Linked DNA regions of Danio rerio. The protein of the gene in region 2 purifies or fractionates together with the protein of the main gene of each other region. This does not show direct contact. Links are inferred from orthologs where the notes say so. Each region holds a gene or a part of one and is shown on either strand. Other genes may lie near its edges. The genes, in order: kif23, racgap1, shcbp1 and fam98a.

Region 1 (5,169 bases), on a different chromosome or scaffold from region 2:
ACATCTTCAAATAATTCCCTCTGTGTCGTTTTAATTCCAAACACTTTTTTGAAGGAATATTGTGTCTGAAAATGAGTTAGTTGAGGATAAAAAATAGATAAGACAAATCTGATTGAATAAACAAGACACATAATCTGCATGTTGTATGAATATTTACAGTGCTTTTACTGGTATTTATAAGAATGATTCACGATAATGAGAATAAATGGTTAAAGGTGCAGTAGGTGATCTGCCAATCTGCTAACCGGTTAGCATAATATCTTTGAAATACATTCCCTATCCTGCCTCCTGAAATCACAAACGCGTACATTAAAGATAACAGTAGACAATCCACTAGATCTTGTCATTTACTAGTTAGAAAACATTATAGTACTTTATAATACTACAATTCTGAATGAAAAACTGTATTATATCTAGCACATTTTCAGTTGTGTAGCAAGCAAAACCTGTCATGTGCAATATTTCATGCATCATGCAAGGAAAGATCTCTGGTCTCTCTCACACGCTTTGCCCTAAAGCGACTACAGTATGATTAGTGGTTGGCCGGCAGGGTGCAGGACTTACACATTACAAAGCCATTCTTGCATGCCATTTCAGACCGAATATTCAAAGTAGCATGGTAAACAATATAGGGACCAAAAATGAACCAATGTGAATATAAAACCAATTTCCCCACAGTAAACAGGCTAGGCAGAATAGTTCCATTTAGTTGTTGTTAAACTAAATAAACATTGTCAATGCTGTAAAAGGTCTCTTATGAAATTGAACAGCCACTGAAATGTCTCGCCAAAAGATTGATGTGACTAAACAACACTCCTGTGCATATAACTGATTCAAAAAACAACACAGTCAACATCAGCTTTGAGTGACTAAAATACTTTTAAAACATAACATCACCTGTCTAATATAAATACTTCAGCAAAGGCATCATCCTTCCTCCAACGTGCAAAAGTAATTCCAATATTGATTCAGGATTTTAAAAAGTTTTGATTCAGCATTTGTTTAAAAAATAAATAAAAAAATCGTTCTCTCTTCTGTGCATGTAATGAATGTGGCGCGCACTCACGCGTAAATGGCAGATCTGCGTGAATTGGTGTGCAGATGTTCAAATGTACATTTGCTGACAGACTGTTTGGGCTACTTATTAGAATTATGGGAATTGTGGGGCCAATGAATTTTAAATGGATGAACATTTTTTCGTCTTATGCCTCACTCAGAGTATAAAAATACACTTAGATCATTTACTTTAATCATTACTATTGGAATGCAAAGAGACTTTTAACCAGCACAACAAAAAATGTTTCTGAAGACAATCACCTACTGCACCTTTAACTACTGCAAAAACTATCCCTTGTGTTGCAAAGATTTTTACTGAAAATGAATTATCTTCAGACCACAAATCTCGTCAAACAGATATTGTACAAGCTGCAGTTCATGACCAAAAATTCAATACAATATAATAAAATACAATTTAGGGCTGCACGATTTTGAAAAATACATTGTGATATGAATAAAAATTCACAAGATGCCTTGAACAGCTTGGTTGAAGAAATAATAATAATAATTCATATTTTTTAAGATTGTAATAATTTTGCAGGGAGTACATCTGCATAATATGTTTAAAAAAAAAGCATAGATAAGTAAAATAAAATGTGATTTATGATATTTCTAAGGGAGTCTAACTGTAGTCAGGGACACAAATTAAATAATTAAATATAAAAAAAAACACTATATAGTCTAAATACGATCGTATACATAATTCAATTTAATTAATCTTTATTTAACCTCCAAACATTATAATTTATTGTGCCTGATTGCTTTTAACTCTCCTGAAATGATCAGACAGTCGCAGAAAAAAAAACTGATAAACATTCACTTTATTATATTTAAACATTACAGTGATAAATCCACAAATCTCACATTCTGAACTGTAGCTCCTGGTTAATTATAATCTAGACTCAACATTGTTGATCATGCAACGCGATTATTTCAAATCTGCGCATTGTGATATCAATGCTGAAATTTTATACCGCGCTCTAGTACAATTTAATCTCTTCAGATTGCTCAGTTCATATGGACACATTTCAGCAGCAGTTTTGCATGAATACATTAACAGTGGAGTAGAAATACTTCACTTTTTTATTATAAAATATCTACATTTATGTTTTCAGGATGAACAAAAGTGTTCTGGGTTTGGAATGACACGAGAGTGAGTAAATGAGTGCAAGATAAATTAACTCTTCAATTCCTCACGAAATGCAAAAAAATAGGCTTCTTAAATAGAGGTAAAGTTGGTTTTATATTGGCACATTCTGACTTCCTCCTTTATAATATACTTTCACAAAAGTGTTTACAAATTCTAAATAGAGAAATCATGTTAGCAGCCAATGACTATCAAAGTACAGCACTGTTCACAGTCAAGTAAATATTGCTATTGTTGTTTTGAAGTCATAGGTAAATGTGGTTTCAGACCGAATATTTAAAGTTCCAAGGTAAACACTATAGGGAGCATGTCACAAGTTGTCACTGAACAAATGAGCGAATATAAAACCAACTTTACCTCAATGACTTCTTATGAGTAAACGGTTGGCACACGTCCACTAACCTCTTTGAATTCCCCATTCCTGTTGGCTTTGAGTCCATCAGGAGCATGTAACTGAATGGTGGTGTTACTTATAACCTCAATGCAACATTCCTCATCTTCAGCACCCAGTGGCCGAACTCGACAATACACCTGTCAAAGAGATCTCAAATTAATATATTTATCACAATTTCGATTAACTAAATGTGAGGACAAGTTACAACATACTCCAACAGGGTCCTTTTGGTTGTTTGAAGGTTTTTTTGGAGGAGGGCGGCGGGGGGTCTTGCCCTTCCTTTAACAATAAATTCAGACAACATACAAGTTAGTAAACACGACTTAAAATAAAAATAGACGAACTAAATATGAAGAGTCCTAACTTAATATAACGTTAAATGACGTTTTAGAGTTACACTATAAAAGAGACAATCAGTAGATTACTTATACAATTTTAATCTAACGTTAAACTAAATCTGGAATTTGAAACTAAATATAGTGTTTGACGTTTATCGATAATAATGTAGATAACAAATTATTAAACTTCTAAAACAAATAGTAAAGTAGAGAAATAAAGTAAAACTTCTTAGGCAGAGACGGTGGATTAATTCTAAACGATTAACGCTAAAGTAAACGCAACAGGCGGTGAGTTACACTAGATGGCTAACGTTAACAAATGCCTGCTGAACACCACTCAACGTCCGTATGAAACAACAGACTGACTAAACGAACTTTGAATTACTGGTTATCTATTTAGCACAACTAAAACACAAGTCGGCATAAAATACTTACGCTTGCCTAATCATGCTGAGATGTTTTAGTTTAATTCCACGACGCTGTTACCTTCTTGTTGACCGTATACAAATCCGAAGTTTCAAACGTTCCCTCGTCCGCATCAGACACAGATTTTTCAAATGTGACCAATCAGCGAGCTCAAACACTCCTCAGAAGAGCGGATGTCCCGCCTTAAGCCCCGCCTAATGGGCGCTTGACAAATTCCGGTTTAAGCCAGGAGCTTACATAAAGGAAAACAATGAACTCTGTTAATAAAAAATGCAAAGAAGATTTAAAATATTCTTAAGGAGTATACGATTTTTAATTACTGAATGAAAAAGTAATATCAATTTAAAAAGCATTGTTTTACATGAAACCTTCAAGATCCTGTGATCTCACATTTCCCTTTACCCGAATGCATACTTACAAATATATTTGTTTGTCTTATAACGTTAGTTTGTATTTTGTACACCCCTGATGCTCTCTTTTCTTTCTTTTTGTATTTGTATTGTTGTGTACTTTGTTCTTTAAGCATTAATAAAAAATAAAGAAAAACAAACAAAACGCAAAAATCGAAAAATACGTGTCTGTCTGCTTGTGTTAAAACTTTTATGTATATTTGAATATTATAATAGCCTAATATTAAATATTATTATAAGCAGAGGAATAAATTATATATTTACACACACACATTTGAAGTCAGAATTAATAGCCCCCGTTTATTTTTAGTTTTTCCCCAATTTCTGTTTAACAGAGATTTTTTTTCAACACATTTCTAAACATGATACTTTTAATAACGTATTTCTAATAACTGATTTATTTTATCTTTGCCATGATGACAGTGAATAATATTTTACTAGACCTTTTTTAAGACACTTCTATACAGCTTAAAGGGACATTTTAAGGCTTAACTAGGTTAATAAAGTTAACTAGGCAGGTTAGGGTAATTAGGCAAGTTGTATAGTGATGGTTTGTTCTGTAGACTATCGAAAAAAAAATAGCGAAAAAAAGGGGCTAATTGTGTTGGCCGAATTATATTTTTAAAAATAATTTATATATATATATATATATATATATATATATATATATATATATATATATATATATATATTTATAAAATGCGTTTTGATACATTTAGTTGTACATTGGGATGTCTTGATTTAGTTTACATTATAACTGTCTTTATAACTGTTTATCATCCTTTTAAAATAAACGTAAAAATTATTTTTAAAAAACAAAAGATTTTATGGTTTGCCACATTTCTTCAAATGTCTGCAAGAACATTTTAACACACTTAGTTTAATCACTTATTCTTTCATTTTCTTTAATAAATTCAGTTTATAATAAAATGTATGGTTTTATGACTAAAGTATTTCTTGCATAAATTTTGGGTTACACAGAATGATGAAACATACAATTTATCACTTTTTTCATCAAAGTTATATGTAACTATATAATATTCAACTTAGTTGCATTCATATTTTTACATGCGCCAACACATATTTATCATAAATTCTGCAGTTAAACTTTTTTATTTCAGATGCCAAAATGGAAAATTACATCTTTGATATCCATCTATAGAGAGAGAGAGAGACACGGGACACGGAGAGTTATCTTTAAAGTTTTATTTAGAAAAATAGCATATCTTCTCAATACAGTTTCTTTACAAGACAAAGACTTCACAAATACAGTGTTCAAAAAGCCTTATTTAAAATAGGCACTTGGATAAAAATTATTATAAATGTGATTCATGTGCTTGGAACATGGAAATGTGCTTTGAAATAGTGCAAATTTTAGGAATGTGATTTGAAGCAGAC
Region 2 (3,289 bases):
GCATCAATATAAGGCACATAGCAATATTAGGCAACATTATGCAGCGATGGATAAATTTTAGGCACGTGGTGATAATAGGCAACAATATTACGCAGGGACACATCAATATTAGGCACGTATCGATATTAGGCAACGATATTACGCAGCGACGTATAATTACTAGGCACGTAGGGATATTAGGCAGCGATATTATACAGCGACGAATCAATATTAGGCACGTAGCGATATTAATATTATGCAGCAACGAATATTTTCTGAGTGAATTGCTAACGATATTGAGTGAGATGCTAATGGTCTAGTCCGATTTATACTAAGCGAAGCTGAAAGTGCTTCAGTCAAACCCAGAGATCAGCTGAATAAATTTTTTAAAGCTCTAGGAGGACCTAAAATTGAGCTTAAATACATCTGTCCTTTCAACTGTATTTCAGATTTTGTTGTTGAGCCCCTCCATCACGCTCAAGATCACTTTGGTAAGTGTAATCACTGTGATGAAATTGCTTATGAGCATGCTCAAAAGGAAGTGCATGTCCAATACAATTTCAACCATAATATGCTTTGGTACTATGCAGTTCAGTATGAATACCTTGTTTTAATGGTCATGAGTGAAGTTAGCAGGTAGAGTGTAGGTAGTCTTTGTAGCTTTTCAAATGTATTCCATTACACAAGCATCTACACTAGCAAATCAATGAACTTTAGCAAAGCTCTGAAAGTGGTTTAAATCTAACAAGCTCAAAATATTTTAGATCTCATTTCATATGTATTTTGTAGTGTTCGATTGTGACCGGCTGTAAATAGGAAACTATCCATGAACACGTACCCTCGGTTGTCGTTTTGTGTCCTGTAGGATGGTCATTGGTTCTGGGTTAGAAACGGCATGGCCTACAATTGTGGGTCCAAATACACGAGCCAGATTGGTGATGTCCATCTTTGTAGCGGGGCTTTGGGCCACCCTGATGATGAAAGAAAGAAAAAGAAAAAGTAAGAACAGTAATTGCTTTTTGAGAGGACTGTTTTCCCTAAATTAAGCAGTAATATTAGTTACTAAACTGAAAAAAATTAGGAAAAAAACATCTCCAGCATGTTAAAAGGGCCTATTAGTTAAACTGCTACCACAACTGCTTTAAACCTTTAATATTTCACAAATACATTTATCATCTCGAAAGAAACGTTTGAATTTCACAACTAATTAGCATTAAAATAAAAAGCAGAGAGTAAAATCAGAGAATGTTTGCTATTTACCTTTGTAGATGGATGATGAGGAAGGCCAGAGTGTCTCTGTGGGGCTGTGGAAGATCACTGATGTTCTGATACATCAAGGCAATGCTGTTGTCATCATCTGACAGCTCTACAAAAATAAATAGACAAAATAAATAAATATACTGAAATTCACACACCTATCTTATCACCCCCAGGTGTACTACAATTCAAACATTTAGGACAATAAAAAACACTTTTATCCAACAAAAACAGTCAGCAAAGCACATTTATGGTACAAAATATTACATCTCAAAAGATATTAGAGTGATTCATGAAGACTGGAGAAATGCTAGTCAAAACAGGAGTAAATTGCATACGCTAATTTTATATTTCATAGAATAAACTTTTATTAAAACTGACAATATTTTTACTGCAGTTTTGATCCAATAAACACTTTCAGAAAGCCCAAACTGTTAAAAAGCAGTGTACATTTATACATCACATACCTGCAGCATCCATGAATGCCCGATTGAGGCGGAAGGTTAGCAGGGGCTCTTTGAGGTTCCTTAGGAAGTCCTTGAGGAGGCCAGTGATAGCATGGATGTCTTCCACCTTGCTGAGCAGGGGAACAGTCTTCCCACGCAGGAACTTTTCTTTCAGGTCCTTGACCACTCGATCAGAGCCAGATACCCGGTACAAACCAGTCTGACAAAGCAATATGTGCGTATTATAGGTAGTGCTCAAGAGTTAGGGTATGTTTACAACATAACAAGTTACATGTTTACACACTGTTTTTAAAATGATTTATGTTTACATAAAGGAAAATGGCCAAAAACATTACATTACGAAAGCCAGGCCAAGATTTGGCACAGTCATCTTGTTAGTAAACAGTGTCTGTTGGCGGCAGTGCATGTAAAATCTGCTGTGTGTATGACGTGTCTTTGCTATTGGTTCACATTTTACTGATGAAGTGATAGCAAACACTTCAACAACAACAACAATACTGTATTCTGACATTGTTTTGCGTTTGATCATGACCACCTTTAACCGGGTATCTGAGCTTTCTAAGAGTTTTATTTAAAGGTGCAGTAGGTGATTGTCTTCAGAAACATTTTTTTGTTGTACTGGTTGAAACTCTCTTCACTGTCCAATAGTAATGATAAAAACTAAATGATCTAAATGCTAAATTATATGTATTTATATATTCTGGATGAGACATAAAACTCTAAAATATAAATAAATAAATAAAATATAAATAAGATATTTTCGGGCCGACATCTCCCATAATTCAGCTCAAACTTTTTTGTCAACAAATGCAGATTTGGGCTTTTGTGCATCTCTGTTCACGCAAATCCAACATTCGCGCATGCCCACCTGCGTGAGGGCCACGCTTTCATGTGCACACGAGACAATTAGATATGCGACACGTTAAATGCGACTGTGAGTGCCTGCTGACATCTCGAGCTACGTTTCCACCCACCTATTTTTATACACATTTTGGATATGCACATAAAAATATGGTTGATGGATGCCAAGATGTGCATACATTTACAAAATGCACATAAAAATCATGTGCACATAACAGAGTAGGATAAACTGGCTAATATATAAGAAAAGATGCGCATTAAAAAAGGTCATGTGGTTTTGTTATAAGAGATTATGTGATAAAAATACGAATAGAAAATACAAATAAGTGCACGAATAGACAAACCAGCAGGCTGACCACATTGAAAAACATCTGAAATGTTGCTCTGGGCATTCTAAAATGCCTTAACTATTTCAGTATTAGTGTTATTTTATTATTAATGAACTTCAGAATCAAGAGCGTCTGTGCTCAGTGTCTTGCACCTTCAAACACCACGTGTGTTCACTGCTTGTCTGCAATGTCTTCTGAGGCGCATTTATTAAATGAAGAAAAGATTCACGCAGCATCTCCTATCGCAGCAAATTCTGTTTTCTGTGTTGATGATTTGGCTGTGACTCATTGGATGGAAACGCTGCTTTATTCGCACGTCTGTTTGCAATAATCTAGCTTTGCGCATACATTTTATTCGCATTTTTGGATGGACACATAGCTAATGACAACACAGCT
Region 3 (5,120 bases), on a different chromosome or scaffold from region 2:
TTAAACATTTTAAAATCTTATATATTTTAATAAAATTTGGTACATGTAATGCGCGTTGCTCTTTACATTGACAATTAAACTTATTTTTGATAGTCTATGTTGAGTGAAATGTAATGTATTTGTTTTATTTAATGTCAAGTCAGCAAACAAGGCTATTTTTATGGCAGGACCATTTCAATAGAAATATACAATTAAAACAACAAACAAATGAATACATAAATTAAAGTTTTTTTTTTTTTCGTGTTAATACATGATAAAAATAAAAATGTAGGGTGTCACTTCGTTAAAGATGTCCTTAAGATAATTAATTCATTAAAAAAAAAAAACTTCTGGAATCATTAAAAGCTGGACAGTCTAATAAAATGTGTTTTACAGAAAGGGGAGTTACCAACATTGCAGTACCAACATTGAGTGGGGTCTTCACCTGAGCCAAAAGGCATGGGTTAAGCTTGTATATCCAATATGATATCTGGTAAAAATCCCTTAATCAAATCTAGTATTAAAATGTCTTGAAACTCTGTTTGAGATTTCAGGTTGTATTTCATACAATTTATTATTTCTCAATGCATCCCATTCCTCTTGCCACTTATTTAAAATGTAAACATTGATAAAAGGTTCTATTTGAATATTTTATTTAGATGCTTGTAAAGTTAAGAAGGTGCAACTGTTTTACAAAATACACAAACATCTTTGCTCCATTAAAATGTGCAACACTTATGTTTTACATAAATTTGATGTGATCCCCAAATAGATTAACTTACTGCAAATGGAAAATTACCTTGACAGTTTGATAACACAAGTTCTTAAAATGTGATTATAGATGGGTAGATGCTTAGCCTCAAATACCACTCTAAAGCAGTATTAGAGATGTGTGCACTGAGGTGTGCCATTTTTTCAGTCCTGCACGCTTTGCTTTTACATAATCGTTCCAGCTTTTAGGAATATATCGACTCTAGAATTAAGGATGCATTTCATGTTCCTGAGACAAAATCTCTTATTTTATTGTTCCAAATATAAAACAAAATATTAATGAAACAGTTTTAAAGAATAATACAAATTAGTTCAATACATCCATAAATATAGTTTGTACGTCTAATTTTCATCTTTACTATAATAAGCCAAATAAAAATGTAGGAGAAACATCTGTTTTTTGTATTATTCTGGTTTGAGGTTAGCATCTTAAGCTAAAGGAAAAATCTTTTTTATTATTTGTTATTGTGTTACTGCAATGTGTTTGTCAACTCTGTCAGTGATTAACAAAGGAAAATAAATGGGGAAATGCCTGAAATGTACCAAATATTAAGAATATATAAGTCACATATATGTACTTGAAATAAAGTTTATTATATTTTTATAATGTTACAGTTTTATAAAGGTTAAATTATCTTAATTTCTTTTTTACCATTTGTAAACTTATGTTCACTGTTTTGTTTAATTTAGTTTTTTTAGAAGAGCAATAGCTATTCATGCTTAATGCACAAAAATTAAAGTCAGTCAAAGATCATAAACTGAATCAAGAATTCATTTCAACCAACAGATAAAAAATCGTGACATCTGAAATAGTACCAAACCATAATTATTACATACATTAAACATTTTTAATTACTATTTTTAGGTATTGCTCATTCTCGTATCATGTATACTGGTCTGTCAATATAAAGTAAACAGTAAGACTGGTCAAAAAAATTAAAAATTCACCTTAAAAAAAAAAAAAAAAAAGTTGGATTACCTAAGGTGTTCCAGGGCCAAAGCAGTCTGATCAAAGTCTCCAGACTCATCATAGACAACCGAAAGCTCCATAAGAGGTACTTTATGAAGTGTAGCCTCCAGCAGAGCCTTCATGGATTCTTCAGTAAGATCACAGCCTCTGGTCTCACACGCCATCGGCAGTACCAGCTCTACTTTTGCCTTCAGCGCTTTACAATCAACGTCAACAACCTACAACAACAACACACATTACTCAGCTTTCTCCACATTCCACTGTGTAGATGCTTCAATGTTTTAATTGTAAAAAAAATAAAACTAATTAAACAAATTTCATATGCTTACTTCAACCAGCACATCAAATACATCGGTGTGCCATATGCCTTGCCAATCACATGGCTCCACGATCTTCTCCAAGTATTCAGCAGTGAAAGACTGTACTTCAGATGGTTTACTGTCACCTGTCAGACATTTTAGGTTCATAAATATACTCTTCTTAAGTCATTTATTGTTATGAATGTCTATCAAAAGTGTCTGAAGTGTTACCAAGCATGTAATCTTGATAGGCCTTGAATCTTTCATAGTACAGAAGATTGTCTGTTTGAAAGGTGTCCGGCAGTCCTCCATTTCCTGGTCTCTCTGCTCGCTGTAGATGAGTGCAGGGTCTATCGTCACCATTTAGATAATGTGTGCCACTGTCATCATCATCATCATCATCATCATCATTCTCATCCTCCTCACCTACTGCCTGAAATAACTCTGAAAACAATGTACATTGGTGGATCAATAAAGTGGCATATCTTACACAAACTGCGTCCTACTACGTGCAAAAAAAACAAACATGTAAAAGTCAAAAGTGTGGCTAAAGATTAAGTCTAAATTATAGAGGTAAAGTTGGTTTCAAATTCGCACATTCGTTGATTTAGCAGTCTCTATATTTTGTTTACAATGTTACGTTGAATATTCGATCGGAATTAGCATGCAAGTATGACTTCTAAACAACATTAACATGATCCAATTCACTGTGAGCAGTGTTGTACTGATAGTCACTGGCTGCTAATATGAGTTCCCTATTTAGAATTTGCGAAGAATATTTTTCTGAAATTATATTATTAAGGAGAATGTCTGAAAATACAAAAATAAAGCCAATTTTACCTCTATGTTTAAATTTAAGTCATTGACATTTTAACCTGACAGAAAACATACCAAATCAAACGACAATATTTACAAAGCGTGTATATCACAAACCTTTTGAAACCCGACTGTGGTTTTGTCTGATGTCATTAAAGATGGTCTGCTGATTTACATTCTGGTCGTTATTATTTTGTGGATCTCCGCTGGTTGGTTTGATGATGATTTCAACGCCGTTTTCAGTCTCGCAGTCCCTTACCTCCTCTGGCTTTGGACACTCAACTTCCCCGGACATCACTGAAGCTTAAAATGTCAATATATTACAGTAAAGTAAGTTTAAAGTTTGTTAAAATGTCGCTTAATAACTCGCTTAACAGTTTCTGTTGGCCTGTCTTGTCTGTCTCCTCCCTTCACTTGTATTTTCAAACGCTGCCCAGGCGGAGCGCCCAATAAACTGGCGGGGCGGGGCAAACTGACGCACTCTTAAAGGGGCAAAGCGCAGTTTATAGTTTATTTAGTTATTATAGCTCCCGTTATGAACAGGTCATCATGTAGGCTATTTGTTCTTTTAAACTTGAACATTTTGTTTCGGTACAAAAGTAGGTTAAATAAATTATATGAAGTATTTACAATATAGACATTGACAATATAAACATTTATATTCAACATGTTAAATATTTTGTAACACTTTTAATTACGTAATTAGACAAGTTCCATACTCTTGTAATTACTATAAATTATGCATAAATACGTAACCCTAAACATAGGCTATCTCACATTCTACCCAACCATCTATGTAATAAATAAATAGTACTCAGTAGTTAAATAAACAATTACAAACGAGTCCCAAAAATGTCTGAATCATAACATGTCCTTTATGTTTCATAATCATACATGTCCAGATATATGGCAGAATCAAATATGTCCCATATCAGAAAGATATATTTCCACATATTTAAATGTCCCAAATTGTGTCAGAAACATATAAGCCCACATGTATGCCAAGAAAAACATGTCCCATATATGTCTGAAACACATATGTCCTCATACATGCCAGAAACAAATATGTCCGTGTCAGAAACAATAGTCCCAAAAATGTCTGAATTCCATGTCCCTTATATTTCAGGATATGTCCAGATATGTCAGAAACGTATATGTTCTATATATGTCAGAAAGCTAAATCTCCACATATATATCAGAAACATATTTCTCCACATGCAGTTGAGGTCAGAATTATTAGCCCCCCTGTATTATTAGCCCCCCTTTTCATTTTTTTTCTTTCCAATTTCTGTTTAACGGAGAGCAGATTTTTTTTTCAACACATTTCTAAACATAATAGTTTTAATAACTTATTTCTAATAACTGATTTATTTTATCTTTGTCATGATGACAGTAAATAATATTTGACAAGATATTTTTCAAGACACTTCTATGCTTAAAGTGACAACTAAAGGCATGACTAGGTTAATTAGGTTAACTTGGCAGGTTAGGGTAATTAGGAAAGTTATTGTATAACGATGGTTTGTTAGTGTAGACAATCGAAAAAAAAATTGCTTAAAATTTGTCCTTAAAATGGTGTTTAAAATTTTATTTAGTAAAAAAAAATTAATAAATTCAAAAATAGCTAGACAAAATAAAACAAATAAGAGTTTCTCCAGAAGAAAAAAAATATTATCAGACATACTGTGAAAATGTCCTTGCTCTGTTAAACATCATTTGGGAAATATAAAAAAAATATATATATATATAATTTTGAATAATTCTGAATTCAACTGTATGCCAGAAACATATATACTCATGTATAACACATATATGTCCCTTGGATATAAAACACGTATGTCCCATTGGGTTGTTAAGGTTAACCCAACAATTTGGGTTACAAAAATAACCAATTTGTTGGCTTTTTTTGCCAAAAGTTGGCTCAACCACTATATAATAGTAAATAATGATAATAATTATTATTATTTTATTATTATTATTATAGTAGTAGCTTTTAGTACATTGGCAATGTCTAATTTAAATCTATGAGTTTAGTGCCACTTCTCCCACAACAACGAACGCCTGAGAGCAGTTTAGTTCATCCACAAGCAGCAGGACAAGAGGGTTCTGTCTCTGTTGCTCATCTTCCTCCTTTATATATGTATGCACACATGAATTAAATAATGTCCAAGATTTATTGTCCTACACCTAGAGGTCGCAAATCAACAAATTCTTGTTTTGACTCCTGGTATGAGGGCCGAACCATCTTGCTGCATCTGTATGGCAGTGGAGAAAGGTTTGCTGTC
Region 4 (4,961 bases), on a different chromosome or scaffold from region 2:
AAAAGTGAAACTGAAAGCTAAACATTATATAAATAATCATATCGCATTTTAGAGTTATGATTACGACAAGTATTTGACTTGTAACTGTCAGTATAACTACTCTATCCTATATAATGTTGAATATAATGCAGGAGGAAATCTGATAATGACAAATGTCTCATTTTATCAGTGAAAAAAAAATGGTCTAATAATCTTGTCTATGACAAATGACAAGCATGTGTCTTAAACATAATAATTCAACATTAGAACTATTTATAGTTGTGAATTAGCATCCAGGATAAATTTAAAGAGCCCCTATTATACATTAAAAAGGGTCATATTTTGGTTTTATGTGTCTCAAACAACATGCTGATATGAATGCAAGGTCAATACACACTTTCATGGTCTTATAATATGCATTTATTTTTAGCAAATTATCCCAGCGATATGATATGATTCATTCAGCGTTTCATTTGTTCCCAGAAAGTAGAGAAAATAACACTAACTTTCCCACATACTTCCAATAATATCCAGCAAAGCACAGCGTCTTCATGACTTGATCCAACTGGGATCTGTTTGTCTTCCTTTTCTTTGCTACTGTATTAATGGGCGGGACCTCAGGTTTAAATTTTCCCGGGTTTGCGCAAGCAACAATTGGGCGGGGCTTAGGTTATGAACCACAATGAGTTGACTCTTTTATAACCGAATCAATAGTTTTAAACACTGTCCACTTTCAGATTTAAGCCTCTGCTGGACAATTGACTTCACTGTTCACTTCACTGTTACAGACTACATGGAAAGTCGTTTTCAAAAACCCATAATAAGGGCTCTTTAAAGGGCCATGAAACCCCCTCGTTTCAGCAGGGTGTTTTCACACCTCTACTTTGGAAAAAGTCAGAAAAGTGGGCGTGTCCAGCTCTGTTTAGGGGGGAGTGTCGGAGGAACTAAAGTGGGAGGGTGTGGGAGTGTCTATTTGGGCGCGCGCGAGTTTCAGAGTCAAAATTCACACACACAGTAGAAAGTGATGGTGTTTAACCTACATGGACATCTGTAGTCGAATTATTTGCCAAATTATTAAATGGTGGACTTTAACTGCAGTTTGGCTCTTTCATTAAGGGAATTCATTCATGCCCCTCACGACAAATGAGATATTTGATTCGAGGAACTGCTCTAAGCGTGTATTTTTCATGCAATGTTTGATACCGCACGGCGAGTGAGAGAATAAAAACCCTCTGCATTTCCCGGAAACTTAGATGCACACGGCAGGTAGCGTCAGAAAGCCGCGTGTGTTATTCCGGTCACTAAATGCGGTAAAAACCCTACACGAGGTTAAAGTTTGGTTGTGGTGCTAACGTGTTTACACTCGGTGCAATAGTTTGTTAGATACGAACAAACTGAATAAACAAAGAGCACTGGTCGCTCACTTACCAAATCTGTAGAGACAGGACAATCACCAGCAACTACTAGAGCCGCGTCTTTATGAAGAGAATACTACAAGCGAATCCGGATCTCAGCGTTTGCAGATGAGAACAGCTCTCAGGTAAACAATAATCCTCCTTAGACACGTAAGTTATTGTTGTCGAGCGTCACGTACACTGTTAATCCACACGTGACTCTGAGCTCTCACAGAGAGAAATTGAAAACGAAACTTAACTGCAGCAAACTAGACGTGCAGAAGACGTGATAAGACACACTCTGGCACAGACGCCCAGTCTGCACGCTGGAATACAACGCTATTATGTCATGACCGTGACGCAGCTTAAAAAATTTGTTTCAAACCGGAAGTACGAATTTGCTTGAAATAATGCAAAAACAACCAATTTACACTTTTTAGTGAAATATAGGTGTCCTTATAGTGTTTTTAGCAGTGTGGGACACATATACAACTGTCAACAGCTCAAAAAATGTGTTTTGGTGTTTCGTGACCCTTTAAACTCTAGTCAAGTCCAGCATTCCAAGTCTATACAAAATGTAGCATTTTAACCAACAGTAGACCTACACATAAGACTTAAAATTATTGTTGTTGTTTTACCATGTTTGAGAAATAACAATCATAATAGCCTACTCATAATAACCTTAATTTTACATCTACAGAATCCTGAGAAAATTGTGATCTTGATTTTAAGCAAAAAAAAAAAGTGATTCTGATTTTAGCCAGAATTGTGCAGCCCTAGTTAAACATACCACATTTCACAAAATAATGTATCCCACGTTCTAAACAACCACATAAATGATCAGAACCTTTTTGCTGTTTACATACTTAACAGTAAGACGCAGTTGTTAGCATTCAGCAGACGTTTGGTGACCTCTCCCGTGGTCAGAGCAGGATACGGACAGCACAGCTCAGCTAAAAGACCACTCATCTCCAGCTGAAACCCCTCCGCCTCGCTTGGACCTGCAAACACCACACCCAAATCCATCAGGCAAATCCTACATATTTTAATTCTGCAGAAACACAACCTAAATGACTCTTCTTTGGTCTGATTGAGTATATGATGTGCGCAGTATCAAACTCACAGTTGGTCGCCTGCACATTCTCCTCTAGTTTGCAGTAGAGTTTCAGCTCAGACACAAGCCACGCACACAGTTTGGTGAACTCTGGAGATTCAGCACCACCAGTCACAGCTGTCTCAAGAGTTCCATCCTCTAGAAGTGGACCCTGGTATCTGCAAACACACATTCAGTTTGACTATATTTGCATTTTGAGAGGGTTTCCTGGATCATGCTGCACTTCTATTTGGGAGAATGTGAACTGACCAGTGTTGTGACACTGCAAAACGTAACTGCTTATCTCTGATATAGATTTCTAAAGCTGAATGTGTTAAGTCAATAATAGACATTATACAGCAATTAGGTACAGTCATCAAATAGCATTAAAAATACATTACATAAAACATCCAAAACCCACCCATGTTTGTCAGTTCTGCACTGATTCTAGAACAGTCTATGGACTTGATAATCTTGTAAACTCGTCTGACACAGCAGTGGTGACAGAGGTGTGTTCGTTTAGGCTATGATGATTCAGGCTATTTCTGGCGCTGGCGATATTTGAGATATTTAAGCACTGCTGGGCAGGGCTGCACGGCCCAAATCAGAACATTGATCACAGAAATCACGCTGTCAAATACATGTGCCAGTAGCCCAGGCTCTGAAATGACCTGACATACAACAGATCTCGACTACTGAGGGTTACAAAACGTTTGAAAATAACAGCTTAAAGCAGATGTAAACTACAGACGTTGAGAATAAGAGAAGCGGATCTGGGTGTCAGACCATGCAGAACACCCGGCGAACCAGAGCACGCGTGCTAATGATCACATTTGTGCCGTAAACCAAAATATAAACCTCTAATAAGACAACAGAAACACATATTATAAATGGGGACTTCATTCACATACCCCAGGTCCTCCAAAGAGTCAAGAATATCAGTAACTTCCATTGTGAATCACTCCCTCTAGCAGCCGTAACGACTGCAATGCTAGGTTGGCATAATGGGGCCCTCGTCTCAGCACTTTAAGCTGACCAAATATATGCCGGAATATATTTCTAAAACTCTAAACCATCTCTGTCTAAACAACTAAATCCATGTTTATGTTTCACGCGATATTCTAAAGATATAAAAAGACAAATAAACACAAATAACTATTTATTAAATCATGAAATAAAGCTGTATTTTAATATGACATTTTATAAATATCGGAAAAAACCCATATACACGAAATAATGCAGACTACAATGTTTCCATGTAAATCCAAAACCAGAAAAACCTGAACCAAATCGAAAAAAGTCAAGATAAATGTTTTTTAAAAAAAGGCCAAAATAAATAAATAAAAATTTGATAAAAACAAACATGAATTAGTAAATAAACAAACAAATAAATGATGTGCTATGAAATGTAACTTTAGGATAATGGTACCTTTTCGATGATCTTATATCTTGGGTAATTTAATTATTGGCATAAAAAATATTGAAAAATATTTGTTGTGTCTATGATGAAGTGTAGAAATTGTACAAACTCGAAATAAAATAAAGTGAAATATATAAAATTAATAGAATCTAAGCAAAAAAATCTAAATTATAAATTTAACAGTTTCAATTTTGTGTGAATTAGTCATTTTGCCTTTGTAAAGTGAGCAAAACAGTTTTGAACAGGCATTGTTTTGAATCGCCTATATAATGTGCGTTACTTCTCCAGTCCTGCAGACGGCGCTGTGACTGGACTCAGACTCATTTTAGACCCAAAAGAGCTCATAGCTCAGAGTGAATGGAAACAAACTCGTTACAACAACACATGTATCTATGAGATATTGATGTTTAAAAATGTACCGAGGTCCGTCGAACCCCGACTATCACCGGGCACCGGTACCTCCATCACGTTTCGGACACCCTATAGCACCTTTCGGACCTCCGCCGTTCTGTCCTCCTTTTGGGGTTCCTCCTCCGGGGCCTCGATACTGCAGTCCGCAGCCTATTCCCCCTCCGGGACGCCCGTACGGACCAGGCAATGAAAACTACAACAGAGATTCATTCTACGAGGTGCGAGTTTTTACTGTGCATTCATAAAAACAACCTGCACTTATTTGTCCCACAGATCGAGCTGATAGAAATACCGGATGTACGTTACGTCTTTTAAAATATGTTTTATTATATCTATGTCATGTATATTTATGGATTTAATGCAAGATATGCATTTTGATAGCGGTGCACGAAATAATAGTTCAATGATTTCGGTATTGTATGTGGAACTTGACATGCAATCAATGAGTGTGATGTCATGTGATTAAAAATGAGTTTAAGGATTGTTTAGCATCTCAGTAATTAATTTAACCTTATATGCTGATTTACTTTTGTTAAAAGTAATTTGGCGGTAACGTTATTTTTTTTTTTAGATTTAAAGAGAATAAAATGCATTGTGGTTTCATGGCTTTCTACTATAGGTCAATCAATGGCCTATGTTTTACTTGAATAACACATTCACAGGA

The links.
Region 1: the proteins of racgap1 (region 2) and kif23 purify together in Homo sapiens (co-immunoprecipitation; 10 studies listed by BioGRID and IntAct, counting the BioPlex papers as one, with this or other methods). This does not show direct contact. The link is inferred for Danio rerio from reciprocal best matches to the Homo sapiens genes RACGAP1 and KIF23.
Region 3: the proteins of racgap1 (region 2) and shcbp1 purify together in Homo sapiens (affinity purification with mass spectrometry; 8 studies listed by BioGRID and IntAct, counting the BioPlex papers as one, with this or other methods). This does not show direct contact. The link is inferred for Danio rerio from reciprocal best matches to the Homo sapiens genes RACGAP1 and SHCBP1.
Region 4: the proteins of racgap1 (region 2) and fam98a purify together in Homo sapiens (co-immunoprecipitation; 3 studies listed by BioGRID and IntAct, with this or other methods). This does not show direct contact. The link is inferred for Danio rerio from reciprocal best matches to the Homo sapiens genes RACGAP1 and FAM98A.

What each region holds. Positions count from the first base shown.
Region 1 is NC_133193.1:21,843,560-21,848,728, forward strand, and holds the start of kif23 (kinesin-like protein KIF23), read right to left. Parts: upstream 3,415-5,169; 5' UTR 3,385-3,414; coding exon 3,371-3,384; intron 2,877-3,370; coding exon 2,810-2,876; intron 2,735-2,809; coding exon 2,606-2,734; intron 66-2,605; coding exon 1-65.
Region 2 is NC_133198.1:36,720,998-36,724,286, forward strand, and holds part of racgap1 (rac GTPase-activating protein 1), read right to left. Parts: intron 1,903-3,289; coding exon 1,704-1,902; intron 1,346-1,703; coding exon 1,240-1,345; intron 951-1,239; coding exon 818-950; intron 1-817.
Region 3 is NC_133182.1:46,427,889-46,433,008, forward strand, and holds the start of shcbp1 (SHC SH2 domain-binding protein 1), read right to left. Parts: upstream 3,261-5,120; 5' UTR 3,131-3,260; coding exon 2,953-3,130; intron 2,464-2,952; coding exon 2,251-2,463; intron 2,166-2,250; coding exon 2,050-2,165; intron 1,939-2,049; coding exon 1,730-1,938; intron 1-1,729. UniProt on the Homo sapiens protein: May play a role in signaling pathways governing cellular proliferation, cell growth and differentiation. May be a component of a novel signaling pathway downstream of Shc. Acts as a positive regulator of FGF signaling in neural progenitor cells.
Region 4 is NC_133192.1:24,537,801-24,542,761, forward strand, and holds the start of fam98a (protein FAM98A), read right to left. Parts: upstream 3,482-4,961; 5' UTR 3,419-3,481; coding exon 3,378-3,418; intron 2,646-3,377; coding exon 2,497-2,645; intron 2,375-2,496; coding exon 2,240-2,374; intron 1-2,239. Other genes in the region: uncharacterized protein si:ch211-195b21.5, read left to right, coding at 4,300-4,515. UniProt on the Homo sapiens protein: Positively stimulates PRMT1-induced protein arginine methylation. Involved in skeletal homeostasis. Positively regulates lysosome peripheral distribution and ruffled border formation in osteoclasts.